Linked DNA regions of Cricetulus griseus. The protein of the gene in region 2 interacts with the protein of the main gene of each other region in a pairwise test. Links are inferred from orthologs where the notes say so. Each region holds a gene or a part of one and is shown on either strand. Other genes may lie near its edges.

The links.
Region 1: the proteins of Bach2 (region 2) and Batf3 interact in binary tests that used the Homo sapiens proteins (3 or more experiments, as listed by UniProt). The link is inferred for Cricetulus griseus from reciprocal best matches to the Homo sapiens genes BACH2 and BATF3.
Region 3: the proteins of Bach2 (region 2) and Mafg interact in binary tests that used the Homo sapiens proteins (3 or more experiments, as listed by UniProt). The link is inferred for Cricetulus griseus from reciprocal best matches to the Homo sapiens genes BACH2 and MAFG.

Annotation. Positions count from the first base shown.
Region 1 is NC_048598.1:3,926,085-3,930,318, reverse strand, and holds the start of Batf3 (basic leucine zipper transcriptional factor ATF-like 3), read left to right. Parts: upstream 1-1,433; coding exon 1,434-1,522; intron 1,523-3,721; coding exon 3,722-3,824; intron 3,825-4,234. UniProt on the Homo sapiens protein: AP-1 family transcription factor that controls the differentiation of CD8(+) thymic conventional dendritic cells in the immune system.
Region 2 is NC_048595.1:109,565,022-109,568,997, reverse strand, and holds the start of Bach2 (transcription regulator protein BACH2), read left to right. Parts: upstream 1-1,163; 5' UTR 1,164-1,169; coding exon 1,170-1,412; intron 1,413-3,976. UniProt on the Homo sapiens protein: Transcriptional regulator that acts as a repressor or activator. Binds to Maf recognition elements (MARE). Plays an important role in coordinating transcription activation and repression by MAFK.
Region 3 is NC_048600.1:133,125,037-133,129,033, reverse strand, and holds the start of Mafg (transcription factor MafG), read left to right. Parts: upstream 1-1,167; 5' UTR 1,168-1,185; coding exon 1,186-1,332; intron 1,333-3,403; exon of another isoform or gene 3,404-3,895; intron 3,896-3,951; exon of another isoform or gene 3,952-3,997. UniProt on the Homo sapiens protein: Since they lack a putative transactivation domain, the small Mafs behave as transcriptional repressors when they dimerize among themselves.

The DNA.
Region 1 (4,234 bases), on a different chromosome or scaffold from region 2:
CAAGTTCAGGGTGCTATGCTGGGTACTCTGTATACTGTGTGAGATATAATTGTCTCTGTCTTTCTCTGTCTCTCTCTGTCTCTCTGTCTCTCTCTCTCACACACACAATGTTGTTGATGGAAGGGGGTCAAAACTGAAATATACGCAGAACACCCAGTATGGAAAGGCTCTGCCGGTTGGTTGGTTGAGGCACGTAGACACTGTCCACCCTCCAACCTACTGACACTTAGACACCCCGACTCCTCTTGTGCCTGAAGCCAGGCAGCCAGGTTCAACAAGCTCCCCTCTTAAATCCTGGAAGAGAGCCGTGCACACGGGGTTGGGACTCAGAAAGGCCACCTCCCATACTGCCCAGAGACCAGAAGGCCAAAACGAAAACCCCAGGAAGGCCCCTCTTGTCTGGTTCCCACCCGCCTCCCCAGCTCATGGTTAGCTATCGTCCCCTGTGTGCACACCACAAACCTGCAACCGCTAGTTTTTGTTTTTTGTTTTTTTGTTTTTCTTTGCTGGGCACGGTCATCTTGACTTCGCAATTTTAAAACTGCCAGGCAGGTGAAGGGGGCGCTCTGCCTCTACATGGTCTGGCAGGAGCACTGCAGCCGCATGTCTCAGTCCTTAGCCAGGTGCCACCTTAATCTTGAAGAAGCAAACTGGTCCACGGAACCTTAGAGTGCTCTGCCCAGATCCCCGAATGAGTGACGACGGCGGACGTCTAGCGTGGCAGACACGGACGCCTTTCGTGGTTTCTGCTCACAGCCTCCTCTTGCCCTCCCCCCGCCCCCCCATCAGAGTTCACCCTCGGAGTCACCCCGCCCCCTCCCTGCCCCTTCCTCCCGCCGGACCGGACGACGCCCTGGTAGAGAAGCCCGAGGGCGCCCGCCCGCTGCCCCCTGGCGCCTCTGGGCTGCAGGGGGAGTGAGCGTGGTCCAGCTGCAGCCTCTCCCGGAAGAGAGTCCCCCATTGCCGGCGACCCGCGCTGGGACAGGGAAGCCACCAACCCAAGCCTCGGGTGCTTCTCACCCGAGCTCCTTGAGAGTGGCTGGAGGACCCCGAAGGCTGTGCCGGGCCAGCACCCCGTCCCCACCCACCGGGCCTCTCCCCCAGTGGGTGGGCTTCGGGGCTGCCACGTGACTTCCACGAAGCACAGGGCCCCTAGCGGAAAACAGTGACTTAGGTGGGATCCTGGACCCCGAGGTGAGGTGTGGCGAGAAGGCGGGGAGAGGAGGAAGCGGGGCGGGGTGGGAGCAGGGGGCGGGGACCGGACGGGACAGGACCGGACGGGACGCGCGGGGCGGGGAGGCGGGCGAGCGGGCGAGCCGAGCCGGGAGAGCGGGAAGCAGCGGGGTGGGGCGGGGCGGCAGGTGCGGGGATGCGGGCGGAGCGCGGGTAGCAGAACCCCGCGTTCAGGGCGCCCCGTGTGGTGAGCGCGCGGCATGTCGCAAGGGCCCCCGGCGGGCAGCGTCCTGCAGAGGAGTGTGGCAGCGCCTGGGAACCAGCCGCAGGTAGTGGGCGCGGAGGCCGGGTGAGGGGAGGGGAGTACAGGGTGGGGGCACCGCCCGACGTGCGTCCCAGCCGCGCGCCTCCCTCGGGCGCCTGGAAGGATGCAGTCCGTCCCGACTCGCCCGCCTGCCCGCGCCGGACACGTGGGTCTGCGCGCTGCTGGGGGCCACTGCGTCCTTGCCCACTGCCCACGCTGGAGGGAGAGGGCCGATACTGGGAATTCAGCCCAAAGGGGCGGTTCGTCCCTGCATCCAACCCACCCGCTAAGGTCAGCACGGGGACCGTGGGACAGGTCAGCCTGCCGGTGTGGGGTTGTGCCTCTAGTGGGTAGACTCCACCCCCCAGCACAGGTGGAAACTCCTCGCCCCTATCCGATCAGCCCCCTCTGCTGTCCCCAACTTTCACAGCTGCACCACAAAGAAGCTGAGACAGCTGTCGGAACCCTTCTTGGTTAAAACAATTAGCTGGTTTTCTCTTAGTCCCGCACTCCCAATTCTATCCATGCTTGACATGTAGTGTCCTGGGGTTACTCCGAAGTCTGAGCCGCGTAGGTACCATTTGCTTCGCCTCTCTGAGCCTCAGTTTCCCTATCTATAAGTTGAACCCTGTAGCATCAACTCCTGAGGATTTTTTTTTTGCACAGATTATTTGAGCTGTGCAGGACTTGTATCTCCGCGCAAGATTTCTGCCGAGTGGGCAGGTGTGATCATCTGTGACAGGTGATAGGTCCAGTTTACAGGGACAGATCCCGAGGACAGGAGGCATGCTGTCCCTTGCCCTGAGACTTGTTGGCTTTGGAGAATAAAGAGGTCAAAATCTGTGCGTTACAGGCCAGCCTCAACAGCCGAGACCGACCACTGTTGAGGGCAGCTGTCCCTAAGGACTAACAGAGTTCTGAGTACATGACAGGTTCCTAGTTAATGTACACATTGGAAGGATGGGTGAATTGCGTTTATAGTAGGATCTGTGAGGGTATAATGCTGAAGTTCTGTCGTTAATACTGCCTGTCCGCCTGGATGTTTATCAAGGCTCTTAGGATTGCTGGACATAGTGATGAAGGCCTATAATCCCAGAGCTAGGGAGGCAGGGGGAAGGGGGTTGTTCAGAGCCAACCTGGGTTACATGAAATTCTGTTTAGAGAGAGAGAGAGAGAGAGAGAGAGAGAGGGAGAGGGAGAGGGAGAGAGAGGGAGAGGGAGACTTCTAGAAGACACATTTTGGCACCCTTCTTTGTTCTGCTGAACAGAGTCTCCATGTCACTCCCCTTGTTGTGCAAGTTGTCTATTCTTACCTGTGCTGGGGTTACACCCTGAGCCTATTCTAAGTTCCCTCCCCTTCTAGACGCCTTTTGGACTTAAATCTTGAAGGTTTTTTTTTTTTTTTTTCGATCCCTCAATGGTTCCAATGCATTTCTGGAAAGCAAACTTTTTCCACTGAATAAGTTTTTCTGCCTGCCCACTTCATGCCACCTTATGAAGAATTTTTGGATATTTGGTTAAGAACTTTCAAGATACATCACAAATTTGCATTTGGAATAACCCTGACCTCTGAAAGAAAATGTCAGCCAAGCATTGTTTAAGTGAGCATGTCGTCATTGGCGTTCTACGCACTGGTAGAATTATGTGGCTGCAATTAGTAATAAATGCATGATTATGGTCTGCACGGTTTTAAAAGGTCTTGCCAGTGTGCGGTGGTGTAAAGACGGTGCCCAGCAAGTTTCAGAGGGCAGACACCCCGCCTTTCCCACTCTCAGAGGAGCAGTGACACTACAGCTCTTCCAGGCAAACGCCCTGTGGGGCAGAGGTTTGCGAGCGAACGTTGGTTTGGAGACCAGCAGACCTGAGTTCCACTTCCCGCTCACCCCACGCTGGCCATGATACCTGGAGAACTTCCCTAACCTGAGTTTCTTATTCCTGTCTCTTGGTATTTTTGTTTTTTTGTGGTACTGGGTATGGAACGCAGGGCCTCACGTATCCCACACAAACGTGACACCACTAGGCTGCACCCAGGCCTCTTATTCCTCATTTAAAAATGACAGTCTCAGTGCATATTTCTCAGGATGGGGGGTGGAGATGAACATAAAGCGAAGCCCCAGGACGGACGGGGCGCCTCTTAACAAGGGCCAGCAGCAGCTGGCTAGCGGTACAGGGGGTACCGTCGGTGGAGCTCTGTGAGCAAAGCTGAGAGGACTGAACATTGTGTCTTCTCCACATGTCCCAGAGCCCCGAGGATGATGACAGGAAGGTTCGGAGGAGAGAGAAAAACCGGGTTGCTGCTCAGAGAAGCCGGAAGAAGCAGACCCAGAAAGCTGACAAGCTCCATGAGGTGAGACTGTGGTCAGGGCAGGACTGCCACAGGGACAGCCGTCCTGTGCCCCGGGGAGGGGGCCGGGTGATGATGTCACCATGCTCATCACAACTCTGTATCCTGCCGGGTCTTTCCAGCCTGTTGGTTTGCTTCTTTGTTCACAGGCCTCTTCCCTTCAAGCCAGCCTCTGGGTGCTTCCCACATTGCATTTGCTGTCACTAAAGAATCAAACAAAAGCTGAGCGTGGTGGCATACACCTGTCCTCAGCACTCGGTGGAGGCAGGAGGATACCCAGTTTGAGGCTGGTTTGAACTAGGGAAAGACTGTCTCAAGAAATGACAATAATAATAGTAAAAAGTAAAAAGTAAAGCATTGGGGAAGCCTTTCGGTAGAGTGCTTGCCTGGTACACACACAGATGTCCTGGGTA
Region 2 (3,976 bases):
AGTAGTCTGCTTTTAGCTTTCTGACACACTTCCGTGCTGGTTTCCATAATGGCACACTGGTTTCCGTTCTTACCAACAAAATGTAAGGAGGAACAAACCTTTGATAACCCAACAGCATGAGTAGATGGCAAAATCATTATTCCGAGTAAGATAATCCAGACAGAATATACATGATTCCATTTAAATATAACTCTAGAAGAGAGCAGTGGTTGCATGGCTACTGAGACGTGTAAGGGCTACAGCAGACTTTGAGTGGTGATAGTATGTTCATCTTGATTGCATTGATGGCTTCCCAGTTGCATACACATGTCAAATGGTAATTGCATACTCCAAATATTGCAGCATCATATACCAAAGTGGTTTTCAAAAGCAAAAATAAAGATTGGAGAAAGGAGGGCTTGCTACTGGGGTTTATGCTGGTAATAAGCATTACTGAAAACCCAACCTTTGACATAGTTATGGACAGTGCATCTTAAAATTACTCCCAGGGTACTTTTTAAAGCAAAGGGGTCCTTGTAAATCTTACTTTGAGTGTATCTTTTTTTATGGTTCCTATTGCTATATTGTCTCCTTAAAGATGTTCATTGGGTCTTCTGAGATAATGACAGCATTATTCCATATCTGAGACAGGAGTGACTGCCATGTTGTATTGCTCTCACTCTGCCATGAAGGGTAGAGGGTGGATGGGCTAGCAGACCACAACTACATTTTAGTGCACACACAGTTTGGTGCACTTGTTGAATCATATCCCATGATTCATATTTAGTCTAAACGTCTTTACCAAATGTCAACTTGGGAACTTATGTGTACTTCATTCAAATACTTCAAAATTATTTGTTCCATTTTGACACAAATCTCAGTTAGTAATTAGACTTTTATACATACAAGTTGTATTTTAGCCTCCTAATGAAACCAAAACCACCCAGTGTTAAGGTGTTCCATTAAAAGATAAAGAGGTGCCATGAGTGGAAGGAAAGCAATAGGCCTCAGCTTTCCAGATGTTTCTGACTTTGTTATGCCAACCCGGAATGACTGTGCCACTGAGCAATCCTGTTCCCCTCTGCCAGGCTCCTGGCTTGAGGACCTAGGAGCTATGATGGTCCTCCTTACCTTCTCTGTCACTTACGGGGTACTGACCCAGCCTTTCTTTCTTCCAGGGTTTGAACGGCATGTCTGTGGATGAGAAGCCTGACTCCCCCATGTATGTGTATGAGTCCACAGTCCACTGTGCCAACATCCTCCTCGGCCTCAATGACCAACGGAAAAAGGACATTCTCTGTGATGTGACTCTGATTGTGGAGAGGAAGGAGTTCCGAGCCCACCGGGCCGTGCTGGCTGCATGCAGTGAATACTTCTGGCAGGCACTGGTTGGACAGACGAAAGATGACTTGGTGGTCAGCTTGCCCGAAGAGGTACAGTTGCTTGGTGTATTTGTGTGATTGTTACAGGGGGTTTATTGACTTATTTTTCAAAGATGGCAAAGGAAGAGGTAGAGTTACATGTGCACTGTGCCACATTGATGTCCACGTCATCCACACGTTGACTTGTAGCATATTCAGTTTCTATTTGATACACTTGAGGCCTCAGAAGCATGAATACAAAGTGAGTGTGCTTCTTTAAGAGAACTGAACGTCACATGGGGCCCAGGCCCTCGAAGTTTCTAGTTCACTTAACCTTCGGGTTTTGAGTAGTTCAGCCTCGGTCTGGTGTAGTTCTCTATGTAGGATTTGAATCAATGCTGTTTCTTCTCTCTTTCAAATGGATCTTTAGATTTCCCCTAAGAATAAAATAGCAAAAGAATTCACAGGACCTTCCTTGCTTAGGGAAAAAAAAAAGCAACCAACAGTTCTCACCATTAATGCAGTAAAATTCTAAGAAGTATAAATTTGCTTTTCTCATCAGCATTGAAAATATCCCCTATTCAGGTTTCTTATCTACCTCGGTGAAGACAGTCATTTTTGTACTTTGGGGACATGAATAGCTGGGCTTACTCTGTGTAGACAATGACAGTCGTTTGAGAGGTAGGGGACCCAGAAGATGGGCTTCACAGTGGTGAACTATTAAATTGTCCACTCTTCAAATTCTTTGATTACTCAGTCATTCTGAGTCCCCATACTTTTAGAAGACTGGGGATAATGCTAAGCACCCTCAGGCTTTGCGTGTGGAACAGTCTTCTCTGTATAGCACCAGCATGGTGTACAACTCCAGAGCCCGAGCAGCCATTTGCAAGCTCTGCACCACACAAACTGCAGAGATGCAACTCAAACTCACATCCAGGTCCTCATGCCTGAGACCCAGGAGTACCTCCTCCACTTTGTGGCTTCTTCACAGCAGTCTCATGAGACGTCAAAGACCCAAAACACAAGGAGTTAAAGATGATAACTACCCCTAGGTTCCATATTCACAATCTAGATGCCTTCAGACATACCACAAAGGTATTAATGTCTGTAATTATATGTAAAACAGTAGGGAGTGGTGGGATGAGCACCTGCACCACCAGAACTCATCCAAATCTAACATGGAAGAAACAGAAAGGATGGAGAGTTGGCTCAGTGGTGGAGCACTTACCTCGCATGTTCAGTCTGCAGCAGTTAGAAACAAGATTCGTGGGGTGGGTGGAAGGGACACCAGATTTCAGTCCCTTGCTGGACAGTGTTTGTGACTACCTGCACAGAGGAGAAGAATGGCCAGCTGGTGAAGAGCATAAGTTTGAAATATCTTCACATAGGCATCTTTTCATAGACATCATAGCTCCGTTTCCATTTCTTGTACAGTCTTGTGAGAAGGAAGAGAATAAACCATTCTAAGATGAAGTAACCAGGGTCAAGTCAGGGAGCAGACTGTTAGGTACTAGGTAACAAGAGAAGACAGAACAATGACAGCTGACATGGTCCTGAGCAGGGTCACCATTTCCCAGTTGCACTGCATGGAGGTGTAGCAGTCAGTGAGTTGCTACTAGTGTTAGCTGAGATCATAAATGTAAATGCTTTAAATCCAGACCATCCTGTAGCAGGCCAATTGTCAGACGTAAGTCTTTCTTCTCCAGATGGGAACAAGAACATCTTCCTTGCTTACTCAACTCAACAGTTCTCTGGAACTATTTACAAAACTTCCAGTAATTCAAAGTGGTCTCAGGAGGTGATGTTCAATTATTCATTTATTAGTGTTTTCTGTCTGAGAACCAGTGTGTGTGTGTGTGTGTGTGTGTGTGTGTGTGTGTGTGTGTGTGTGTGTGTGTGTGTGTTACTCTTTTCCAAAATTATATACTAAAATACATACACAAATAAAAATCTTACTTTCTGTAGTGAGGCTTTCCTCAATGACTGTGTTAGCCCCACCTCATATTTCCTAGGATATAAGCCCTTAAGCCCAGCCTGTTCCCAATTCTAACTTGAATCCTGGTCTTCTTAATCTCTCTGAGCCAGGTTCTTACTTCTAAGAACTTTTAAGAATATCTGAAGCCTTTAAATTATTTATCAAAATTTAATACCTGTTCAGTAAAATATAAAGGAAGCCAAGCTATAAACAAATGTTACAAAACCTGGAGTTTCTTCTCCAGTCAAACCCTTAATACAAATGCTTCTTTCCATGGCATTTCTCAGATCTATTCAGAGTACGAGGACACCGACTACAGCCTTGGACAGCCAATAAAAGTCTACTTAACCTTTTGAGTTGTATTAATTAAGAGGGAATTGGCTATGTTTTGGTCTTGTTGCTTCTGGCCCTATAAGGTGACTTTTGTCCATATAGTTTCTATGTCATCTGTGTGTTACTCAGCTTTTTGTCACTGGAAAAAAAATCACCGAGACAAACAACTTAAAGGCAGAAGAATTCTTTTGGTTCACTGTATCAGACCATAATCCCTTAGTACTGTAGTTTCTAGGCCAGAGGTAACACAGAGCACTATGACAGAAGAGAGTAGAGTTGGTAGCCTCATAATTACCAGGAAACAGAAAGAGCAGACAAAGAATCAGGC
Region 3 (3,997 bases), on a different chromosome or scaffold from region 2:
TTTGGGGGCGCGGGCCGGGGTGTGGGCTGGGCCTTCCCAGCTCTCTGACCCACTCGGGAACGAGGGGGCATCGCAACAGGATGCGGTAAGAAGCTCCGCAACCGTGTCACATCATCAGCACGGCGGGCGGGGGCCCCGCGTGGCGCGGCGACTCCGGGAGGCAGAGGCGGGGGCATCGCCCGGAACCCCAAGCCAGGGTGCGCTCGCTGTCCCGAGAAAACCCCGCGTGCCGGTGGACGCGGCAACACGGGCAAACCTGCCCTCCGACCTCGGCCCGAGCAGGCGAGGAGACCCGGGGGGAACCGGAGCCACCGGTGTCCGCGCCGCGGAGAGCTCGGCACGCGGAGGGCGCCGCGCGAGTCCCGCGAGACGTCCGCTGGGCGCGGCGGGTTGCCGGGACGACGGCGCCGGGCTGCGCAGGCGTGCTGGGGCGCGCTCGCCTCGCCGTCGCCGCGCCTTTCCCTTTAAGCTCGGGCCGGCCGCGTCGCCGCTTCATGAATGGAGCCCACGTGACCAAACATCATGTGACGTCTGAGGAGCGGCGGCGGCGGCGGCGGCGGCGGCGGCGGTGGCGGATTCTGACCCGGTCCGGCCCGGCCTTCCCAGCGCGCTCGGCCCGGCCCGCGCGAGCGCCCAGTCGCCCCAAGCCCGCGGCCCGGACCCTTCGCGCCCGCCCCAGCCCCGCGCAGCCTCGGAGCGCGCGCGGCCCCGCCCCAGCCCCGCCTCGGCCCGCCGGGGCCCGCAGTGTGGTGAGTGCGGGGGCTGGGGCGGGCGGGCGAGCGGCGGGCGGGCGGCGGGGCGGGGCCTGGCCTCGGGGCTGCGGCGCACCGTGCGACGGCGGCGCGGGCCCCGGTTTCTGCGCCAGGCGGTCGGAAGCCGGCGGCTCGCCGGTGCCACCCCCGGGCTGTGGGCCGGGCGAGGCGAGGCTGGGAGCGCCGGGCGTGCGCGCGACGGACCCCCGGGCGCCCCGCGGGGGGCGCGATTAAAGGGCGAGGTCGGCGCGTCTGCCCGGGTCAGCGGGGCGGCCGCACCGAGCTGCTGACTCATCAGGTGTCTGTCGGCTTCCGCGCGGGCGGGGCCGGGCGGGCAGGGGCAGGGGCGGCGGCGGCGGCGGGGAGACCCCGCTGAGCGGCTTGGGCTCGCCACGCGCGTGCGAGCCCAGCGGAGACGTGCTGAGTCATCAGCATGAGGTCACTCGGTGCTCCTGCTGACGCGGGCCCGGGGCGGGGGGCCCAGGCCGGCTCTCGGGCAGTCCGAGCGGGCGGCAGGGCTCGATCCGGGCGGCGAAGGTCGGGCCAGGAGCCGGGGGTCGTGTTTAAGTTTATCGGACCTGTGAGTTGGAGGCAAAGGCCTCGAGGGACGCATCACCGGGGTGCGCCGCGGGTTCCTCGCGGGGTGGAAGGTAGAGCCCCGGGCTTACGCATCCCCCTAGGCTCTGGGGCTCCTGGTCCAGCTCCCCAAACTGGGAGACCGATCGGAGTACGCTGAGGGGAGGAGCCTAGGTGGGCCGAGCCCGCTTGTCTGGGAAGGAGGCTTTCCTTCTGAGTGACCCTGGCTGGCCGGGCGGCGTCGGCCTTGCACCGAAAAGACCGGGAGTCAGGACAGAAGGGTTGTGTGGCTTGAGGAAGCCGGGGCAGCTCTGCCAGCTAATGGGAGGGAAGCGTGGATGGTACCCGGTGGAAGTTTTGAGGTGCGAGCATGGAGTGGAGAACGTAGTTCTTTCTCATTTACCTCTCCTTTATCCCTGTCAGAAGAGTTTGGGGTCCCACTGTCGCCCGAAGTTAGCAAAAAGTGTGTGTGCCCTGTTGGGAGGCTGACCTGATGACAGCCTGTGTGGGGTGTGGCCCCCACCTTTGCATGGCTGCGTGGATGTTTACTGATTTCTCTTGCTGTGAAGGGTCCCGAGCTCTATTCCGCATTGCTTTCCTTGCCCGGGGTTTCATGGCTAGCTTAAGCTGACCTTGGGGTTAGGCTTAGAGACTTCCCATCCGCACTTACTACACTGAGCCCTGAGAATGCTCGTAGGTGCCAGGTGTTTCGTTTAGGGTGGAACTTTGTGCCCTATGAAAATTCAAGATCCCAGAGAGGTGTTTAAACTTTGGAGTCACTATGCTTCTGTGACATTTAAGTTGTTTTCAAATACTGTCAGTATCTGGGGTAGGGGAGACCTGAGTTTGGGCCTCGTGCACTGGAGTTTGCCCGAAAGGTTGAGGAAGGGCCACTGTCTTGCTTGAGACTAGTGTCCAGATGTCTGCTCTGAGAGTATTTGGAGGAGAGCAGAGCTGGGGGGCAAGCTGGCCTTGAGCAGCTTCTCTGAGCAGCTTCCTCAGGCTCTGAACTATACCTCAGGACAGCTGTCCCCCAAAGCTGTCTGCCTTGTCACCGTGTGACCCTAGGTTGGCAGGAGCTAGGCAGGCAGCTGGAAACACTAGCTTTGCTGAGACCTGCTCTCCCTCCCCGCTTAAGCATGCACAAGCACGGGCGAGCACACACACACACCTTTCACACACACACACACACACACCTTACACACACACACACACCTTACACACACACACACCTTTCACACACACACCTTACACACACACACACCTTACACACACACACCTTACACACACACACACCTTACACACACACACCTTACACACACACACACACCTTACACACACACCTTTCACACACACACACCTTACACACACACACACCTTACACACACACACACCTTACACACACACCTTTCACACACACACACACCTTTCACACACACCTTTCACACACACACACCTTTCACACACACACCTTTCACACACACACACACACCTTTCACACTCACACACACACACACACACACCTTACACACACACACACACACACACACACCTTTGACCAGGAGGCAGTTGGCTGCACTTGTGCTGATCAGGCCTTCAGCAGAGGGGAAAATCTGTTGAGGAGGCACTTTTCAGCTCCCAGCTACCACACACTGCACTTCCCTGTGCAATCGCGGGAAGTCTGCAGTCTGTGTGAAAAAAGCTCCTGCTAGGGCTGCCTCTCTCACCTTTTCTTGTGCTCCTGGTGTGAGCCGGGGGCCACCTTCTAAGAAAGGCAGCTCCTCTTCAGACCCCTAGCCCTGACTTCTTTCTCTTTGATCTAACGGGACTCTTGCCTCTGAAAATGCTCTTAATCTGGCCCTGGAGAAGTGTCTCCAGCTTCTGTGCTTAGCACGTCCTGTGCAAGACTGAGAGTAGTAGGGTCTTTGCTCAGATGAGAACAGGAGCCTCTACCTCCCTGGCTCACACTTTAGTTCTTTTGATAAGTGTTAAGAAGCACCCCCCCACTCCCCACCCCCACTCCTCACCCCCACCCCCCACCCCCACCCCCCACCCCCCACCCCGACACATTGTTGCCTAAAGTGCTTACAGCCTTCAGCCTCCCCTGGAAGACACTGCAACAACCTCTCCTGCAGTTCCTTCCATTTCCCTGCATCTGTAGCCATGGTGCTGGGCTAAGTGGGGGATTCCCAGCCTGGGTATACAAAAATGTTCTTGGCAAGGCTTTAGAAATCAGAAATTTTAAAAAGTGCCAGAGGGTAGCTGACCGTAGAAGGTAGCTGTTGTGCTTTTGTTCCCTGGCCCTGTGGTCACTGACCCTAGGCAGAGAGCCAGAGACTAGCCAGTGACCCAAAAGGGGCTGGCTCTTGCCTGTTACCAGCTAACAGTGCCCTCCCTCTGTTAATTGTGGGGGCCCTTGTGAAACACCCAGTATCGGGTGGGGCAGGAGCACAGGATGCCGCAACCAAGCCACAGGATGGTTACTCCATCTGTTAAGGAGGTGGACAGGGAGGACTGGAGGGGCCTGGGCTCAGCTCCTCCCAGCTGGATTGCCTGCTACCTGGAAGGTGAGAGGATTCCCAGTCAGCACAGTTAGAGCAAACCTGGTTGGTCCTCTGCCAAAATGAGGCAGGAAGCAGCCTCCTAAGTCCTAGAGGGAGAAAGGGCTT